2 linked regions of the Callithrix jacchus genome follow. The protein of the gene in region 2 purifies or fractionates together with the protein of the main gene of each other region. This does not show direct contact. Links are inferred from orthologs where the notes say so. Each region holds a gene or a part of one and is shown on either strand. Other genes may lie near its edges.

Region 1 (3,743 bases), on a different chromosome or scaffold from region 2:
GTGAAATGACTTCTCTAATTCAGCAGTAAGGAGAGTGGACAGGAGTCTCGGTGGGCAACCACTCCGGGGTTGACGTCCTTCTTTCCATGGGGACTCTAGGGACAAGGCTTGATGTAGCTGTGGATTGCTCTCCTGTTTCCTAGAAAGCTTACAGGGCAGCAGGAAGAAACGGGTTAGCTATGTCTTTACTGGTAGAGCTGAGCTTCGGGTGCCATCTCTGCCATGTGTTCGGCATCTGATCGGTAAAACGGGGACCATGATGGGAGGTGAGGCAGTAGACAGCTCTTCGTGAGGTTCCTGCTGGTTGCTGTTATCACGGAGAGCACATTGTCCTCGTAATCCAGAATTCATACTGCCACTTGAATAGTTTGTGTATTTGCAAAGAAAATTTTAAACACTTAACTCAAGGCTAGAAATAAATGCAGTTAGTTATTGCAAGAGAAAACCACCGGCAGAGGCAGAGGGAGACGACCTAAGCCTCTGATTATTTTTGGAAGCTTTATGTGCTTTCTGGCCTCTGCCACTGAATGGATTAATGGATGTGCCTGGCATAGAGTAAGCGCTTTGCTTGTTCAACTGCCCGCGGGTCGCAGCGAGCAAACTGGGGAGAGCGCTCAGGGGCAGTGGGTGGAGTGAGTGGAGACGCGCGTCCTTTTAAGAAAAGGCTCCATTTGTTCCTCGCGTGGAAATGTGTGCGTGTCATCAGGTGCTCGAGGAAGCTCGCGCATGACCCGACAGCTGCCGTCTGGGATCTCCAGGTTCGGCCTGGCGCGTTCACAGCGCGGTCTCCAGCCCTGCTCTTCCGTGACGCTGCGCCCCCCGACTCGCAGCCCTGACCGACCCGGCCCTTCGCACAGCCCTGCTTCAGGCCGCCCATTCTCCTTGACCTTCCCCCAGCAGGGTCTGAGGCGTCGCCGCCCGTTTCGAGCGGGGTCACGCAGGCCCCTTCCCGGCCTGGAAGGTCAGCGCCGCGCGCTGAGCGTCAGTCCCCGCTCAACCCCCGCTCCAAACCCCGCCGGCCGCAGATGTCATCCTCATCCGTGCTCCGCAGTGACCGGAGGGAGCGAAGGGAAACAAACCAACGTCTCGTTTTCAGCCTCTCCCCGCCACCGTGACACAAAACCGGCAAAAATAAAAAGAGCATTCTGGGAAGCACTTCATCATTTCAACGCTCACGAATTCAAAACATAAACAAAGGGCTCCCGGGGCCCCGGCCGGGGGCGCGGGGCGCGGGGCGCGCGGCGGGCCCGGGGCAGGTGAGCGCAGGTGCGCGCCCGCCCCCGCCCGGGGCCCCCGGCTCCTTCTCCCCGCGCCCTGCGCCCCACGCTCCGCTCCCCCTTCCCCGCCCGCTCCCCGCTGCCGCCGCCGCCGCCGCCCCGCGCACGGCCTGGAGCGGAGGCTGCGCAGGGCGCGGGGCGGCGCGGGCCGGGCGCGGGCCGGGCGGACGGCCGCGTCTTTCTTCTCCTGGCGGTGATGTCATTGGGCGACGGCGGCCGAGGCCGGGGGGCGGCGGCGGGCGCCCGCAGGTTCCTGAGCCGCTCCTGAGAAGGCGCCTGACCGTGGGCCGGGGCGCACGGAGGAGCGGGCCGGGCCGGGCCGGAGCTGCTGGGCCGCGCCGAGCCGATCGCCGGCGCCGGCCGCTCCATGGGCGAGGAGGCGGCGGCGGCGGCGGGGGCGGTGGGGGCCGCGGGCCGGGCAGCCGCTCCGAGGTGAAGCAGGCGCGCGCCCCTCCCCGCCCGCCCGCCTCCCGGGCCGCCGCGATGAATTCCGCGGAGCAGACCGTTACGTGGCTCATCACCCTGGGGGTGCTGGAGTCGCCCAAAAAAACCATCGCGGACCCGGAGGGCTTTCTGCAGGCGTCGCTGAAGGATGGGGTGGTCCTCTGCAGGCTGCTGGAGCGCCTGCTGCCCGGGACCATCGAGAAAGTAAGTCCTCGCCCGCGCCCCCCGGCCCGGCCCGCTGCGGCCCGGGATGCGCGCGGAGCACCTGGGGCCGGCCGCGCTCGGGGGACCGCGCGCCCTCCTTTGTGCGCGGAGCGGCGGCGCGGCCGGCGCCAGGACCGTGGCGGGAGCTCCGGGGGCGCCATTGTGAGCGGGGCTGGGTAGGGGGCGGGAGGAGGGGCGCGGGCGGTGGGGGTCCGAACGCCGAGTGGCCCCTCCGCGCTGGAGGTGGGCTCCGCTGCCTCGCCGCGGCCCGGTCGGAACCGCGTTCCGACGCCGTGCGGCTCTGTCCGCTGGCTTTGTGTGGACAGTTCTTGCCGGTGGCGTTGCGTGTTTCGCCTCCCGGTGAATGGACCGGTTGCTCTGCATTTTTAAAGATGCTCGCATCTGCGGCTGAGGGCTGCGCTGGGAAATGATGTACTTACTTTCCCCTGGAGAAAATTACCCCCATCCGAGAGGACGGCAGACACAGGGTTTAAGCCCCGGCACTCTGCAAGGCTTGTTTAAAATTTCAGATTTCGTTCTCAGGTCCCTCCCTGGTTCTGAATAGAACCCAGAGTCCTGCAGGCACTGCCTCTCCCTCCCCTCTGGTAGTTCCCAGACTGGAGCGTGTGAACCCTGACCCGAATTTCTGGAAGTGATTAAAGTTTGTTTTCATCGCCCACAAACCGGCCAGCAGGGCCCAGGAGACAGGAGAGCTTCTAAAAACGAGGTCTCCCTGTAGCTCAAAATACCAATCTTATTCCCAGGGTTTTTTTTTTTTTTTTTTTTTTGGAGGAGGGGAGGGTGGTGGGTGGCCAATACACAGCGTTCAGATCAACAATTATTTAAAATGTGTTAAATACAGAAACTGAAGAGTACCACAACTAGGAAGAACGACTTAAGTTTCTAAGTGGGGTGTATTGGCCCCCATACAGCATGACAACTTGTAAATAAAATGCCACCTAAGTGACTTGAAAAGTAAAATGTTTAATCTTATACACGTGCGCATGTTCTGCTGCTACATTTTAAATGAGGTCAGAAAACATTAAATGTGAATTTGGCTTACATTCCAGTTTTAGGTATTTTTCTTACTTGGCACATTTTTATGAAGACGGAATCTGCATATTAGAGTGTCCATGAAATAAAAACGTTCCTTTAAAATGAACCTGATGTCACAGTGACATGATGATTTAAGACAGGAGGACTAAGGAGCAGGATCTGACTTTCAAGGCATTCAAAATACTTTGTTGTTTGGAGACTGGTACCTCTGGTAATACAAGACAGATGTCGAAAAGTGTTGAAATACATGCTAAGTTCGCCAAAATAGGCTTGAATAAAATCCTGTATCATCTCTGAAAGCAAAGCTTTGAGAAACTTCATATGCCGTGTTGATAAAAACGTGTCGCCATCAAAGAATGTGGTGTTTGGCATATTAACTGCATTAATAGTGATTGACAGGCTTCAATAATCATTTTCTTCTGAATTCTAGAAAGATTTTCCTAGAAAACTGTAGCATTCATTTCAACTCTAAAACAACGGAGAGAGGAATGAATAAAATGTTGAGCTTGCAGAAGCCAACTTAAAACAACTCAACATATTCTAAAACTGCAGTCATTTGGAAATGTCTTAGGTCAAATATGTTTTTCATTCCCCCCCAAGCTCCAGTTGGTTTGTTTTAAACTGACTCTGTCACAGTGAAAGTTTAATGTAAAGCAGCATATTGTAGACACAGTTGCTGGTTCTCTGGAATTCAAAGGTAGGTTTTTGGAGCAAAATAGCCATTTCTGTCTCTAAGATCCCTGCGTTTCAGAAGTTTTGTGA
Region 2 (3,743 bases):
TGAACAGACACGGTTCCTGATTCAATGGAGTTTACAATCCACGTAGGGATACAGACAAACCATTTCAATAGCTCGGATGGAGAAAATACCTGTGCTCAAGGATACCTAACTCGGCAAGCTTCCCTGAGGAGCGACCCTAAACTGAACCACAAAGATGGTTAAGAAGAAATGAGGCAGCAGGGTGTGGTGGCTCATGCCTGTAATCTCAGTACTCTGGGAGGCCGAGACAGGCGGATGAGAAGGTCAAGAGATGGAAATCATTCTGACCAACATGGTGAAACCCCGTCTCTAATAAAAATACAAAAATTAGCCGGGCGTGGTGACGCGTGCCTGTAGACCCAGCTACTAGGGAGGCTGAGGGAGAGAATCGCTTGAAACCAGAAAGCGGAGGTTGCAGTGAGTCGAGATCGCGCCACTGCTCTCCAACCTGGCGACAGAGCGAGACCCCGTCTAAAAAAAAAAAAGGTTACTACGGTTTGCAGCACACTTACTGATGCTTCAGCCAGTGGCTGGAAACCTTATAACAGGCAGACCTAGCTCCGAAGATCCTCTTCATAACACTACTGTCGCCAAGACTGGAAGCTGCCCAAGCACGAGGGTCCTTTTAGAGGGACCTCAGACTCAGTTTATTTTGGTCTGTGCCTCAAATTAAACACAAGTCGGCCTGGCGCCGTGGCTCACGCCTGTAATCCCAGCACTTTGGGAAGACGAGGCAGGCGGATCACGAGGTCAGGCGATCAAGAGCATCTCAGCCATGGTGAAATCCCGTCTCTGCTAAAACACAAAAAATTAGCCGGGCGTGGTGGAGGCGCGCGCCTGTAGTCCCAGCTACTCAGGAGGCTGAGGCGGGGAATCGCTTGAACCCGGGAGACGGAGGTTGCAGTGAGCCGAGATCACGCCACTGCACTCCAGTCTGGGCGACAGAGCAAGACTCTGTTTCAAAAAAAAAAAAAAAAAAAAAGCCACATGTCTTACATTTCTCCCAGGTCCCAATTTTCAGGTCTTTTTATTTGTTTTTCTTTGTCCCTCCCTGCTCCTAAGCACCTTCGGCTGGGAAGACATTCTTCAGGTGCAGAAACCAGGGGGAGGCTCCCTGAACAGTGGGGGTTAGCTCAGGACGCTGTCATTTTTGCTGTAGAGTCTCTCCTGCAGCGCTGGGGCGGAAGGCTCAAAGTAACCACCCAGAGCAACCGCAGAGGGAAAACCGAAGACAGTCGTGGTCTGGCCTACCGCTTCTCACCCTCTCGCTGTCTTCTTTCCGCCGCGCAGCCTCAGCTCTTTCCACAGTACGAACGGCGCTTGATTGACAAGTGGGCCCGCCCAATCCCAGTGCGGCACAGACCACTGTCGCGTCAAGGACCGGGAAAGGGGGCGACTGAACCTATCAGATTGGGTCGGGAGTGGGTTTCCTGCCCGCGCGGATCCGCCTGCCCACCGCGCGTGCCCCGCCCCTCTCCCGAGAGCTACGCGGCGGTAGAGCGCAGGCCTCGTGCCGTTACGGTCATCACGGCGACCGCGGCGGCGTCCCGGTGCCTTCCTCAGGTGAGCTGGAGCTAGCCGGCACGGAAGACGGAGGGTGAGATGGCCTTGCTGGGAGGCCGACACACACACACCCCCTCCTTCAGTCGGCTGTCCGTCCTCACAGCCTGTTACTCGCTGCGTCGCTTCCTCTTCCCCCGCTGAGTTAGCCCCGGGGGCGCCGTCTGCAGGCTCGGAGCTGAGCCGGAGGGGATGCGGAGGCTGCTCGGCGGGGCCCGGACGTCTGCACTGGGATTCCGCGAGACCCTTGGGGCTCTGCCCCAGGGAGCGCGAACCCGTGGCCTCCTTGTCAGCCCCTGGAGCGCTGCGTCGGGGTTAGAGCCCGGGCGACCGCCCCTGCGAGGCTGGGAGGTCGAGTGTGCGGCTCGCTCGCCGGCTTGTCTATTTTCTACTGAAAAAGTCCTGTTGCCAGCTGTGGCGTAATCCAAGACCGGGAAGGTAGGGACGTGGTAGAAGGGAGGGCGCTCTCACCTCCAGCCCGAGAGGAGGAGGGGGCGGCAGCCTGCGCGGTGCTGAGGGTGGACATATTCGGGACGCGCCCTCGCCCCTCCCCCTACCCGCCGGCGGTTTTCTGGTCCGGGGCTTTGACTTTAAACGTCTGGACCTGCTTCACATTCGTACGCGAGTTGCTGGGGGTGTAAACTTTTGACTTGAGTTGTAATATGTTTGGTAAAAAAATTATCTCGATAGTTTTGTAACATTTCTTGTATGTTAACGTATAAGTTAAATTTGCCGTTAGAAGCTCAGGAAGCTGGATTTGTTCAGGGCTGAGGACGTAACGGTAGGAAGGCTCTCGGTGTCAAATCGATGGATCTGGAGTCAACTGAAAATAATTCTACACGTTATATTAGGTAAGAAGCCTTAGGAATTGTGAAAGAATGAGGTTAAGAAGAATTTCCAACTCCTTTTTGGGAGGGGAGCAAAGCAGCTCAATGCCCCAAAACGGGTAAGTGTTGCCAAGAGGTCCTCATTTTTTTTTGGTTGTTGCTGATTTTTTTTTTTTTTTTTTTTTTTTTTGAGACAGAGTCTTGCTCTGTCGCCAGGCTGGGGTGCAGTAGCGCGATCTCGGCTCACTTGCAACCTCCGCCTCCCGAATTCAAGCGATTCTCCTGCCTCAGCCTCCCGAGTAGCCGTGCTACCGTCGCGGGCCATTACCACCCCCAGCTAATTTTTGTATTTTTAATAGAGACGGGGTTTCACCGTGTTGGCCAGATGATTTCCATCTTCTGACCTCGTGATCCGCCTGGCTCGGCCTCCCAAAATGCTGGGATTACAGGTGTGAGCCACCGTGCCCAGCCAAAGTACTCATTTTAAAAATCTTTCTTGGATAGACTTACGGCAAACCAACAATAATGATTTCTTCAGCACCTGGAAAGCGCTATGTCTAAACTCTCAGCCTTCAGCGAGGTCACACAGTAAATGGGGAAATAACCCAATAAGAAAGTTTTGTTTGTTTGGTAATTGTCAACGTTTGTTCTTTTCTTTTTTTAAAACACTTTATTTTCTTGTGGGGATGGAGTCAGTGATGTTCTTAAATAGGCATTCCATTCACAACTTGATAGTAATATGCACTGGTTAATAAATGGTACTTTCTTTTCATCTTGACCACAAGCTCTGAGGCTTTCTTCTTTGGGAAAATTATGGTCTGTGGGAATTGGCTCTAATATCCATAAAGATAGATTGCAGAGTGTTCAGATCTACTAGCTGTTGGTTCATGTATTAAATTTTTAAATGTGTACTTATTTTTCTAGGCATTATCTTTTGTCCAGGTTTCTGTAGTGCTTTCAGGTCCATGTAAATAAAACTTGAAACCTACCTGTAATGTTTTGTTAGTTACTGAATGAGACCAGGCGAGGTAGTTCAAGCCTGTAATCCCAGCACTTTGGGAGACCAAGGCGGGAGGATAGCTGGAGTCCAGGAGTTTGAGATCAGCCTGGGCGATATAGTGAGACTCTGTCTTTAAATTAGAAAATTAAAAAAAAAATTTAAAAAGGAAAATAAAAAGAAAAGTGATATTAAGTGATGCTTTGTGTTTCTTGGTTTCTTTGAGATGGAGAAACATAAAGACTTGCTCTGTTGCCCAGGCTGGAGTGCAGTGGCATGATCTTGGCTCATTGCAACCTCTGCCTCCTGGATTCAAGCGATTCCTATGCTCAGCCTCCCCAGTAGCTGGGACTACAGGTGTGTGCCACCACACCCAGCTA

The links. The genes of interacting proteins can lie anywhere in the genome.
Region 1: the proteins of NCK1 (region 2) and ARHGEF7 purify together in Homo sapiens (co-immunoprecipitation; 3 studies listed by BioGRID and IntAct, with this or other methods). This does not show direct contact. The link is inferred for Callithrix jacchus from reciprocal best matches to the Homo sapiens genes NCK1 and ARHGEF7.

Annotation. Positions count from the first base shown.
Region 1 is NC_133502.1:26,672,781-26,676,523, forward strand, and holds the start of ARHGEF7 (rho guanine nucleotide exchange factor 7), read left to right. Parts: upstream 1-1,394; 5' UTR 1,395-1,760; coding exon 1,761-1,925; intron 1,926-3,743. UniProt on the Homo sapiens protein: Acts as a RAC1 guanine nucleotide exchange factor (GEF) and can induce membrane ruffling. Functions in cell migration, attachment and cell spreading. Promotes targeting of RAC1 to focal adhesions. May function as a positive regulator of apoptosis.
Region 2 is NC_133518.1:47,383,367-47,387,109, reverse strand, and holds the start of NCK1 (SH2/SH3 adapter protein NCK1), read left to right. Parts: upstream 1-1,458; 5' UTR 1,459-1,542; exon of another isoform or gene 1,543-1,977; intron 1,978-2,285; exon of another isoform or gene 2,286-2,390; intron 2,391-3,743. UniProt on the Homo sapiens protein: Adapter protein which associates with tyrosine-phosphorylated growth factor receptors, such as KDR and PDGFRB, or their cellular substrates. Maintains low levels of EIF2S1 phosphorylation by promoting its dephosphorylation by PP1.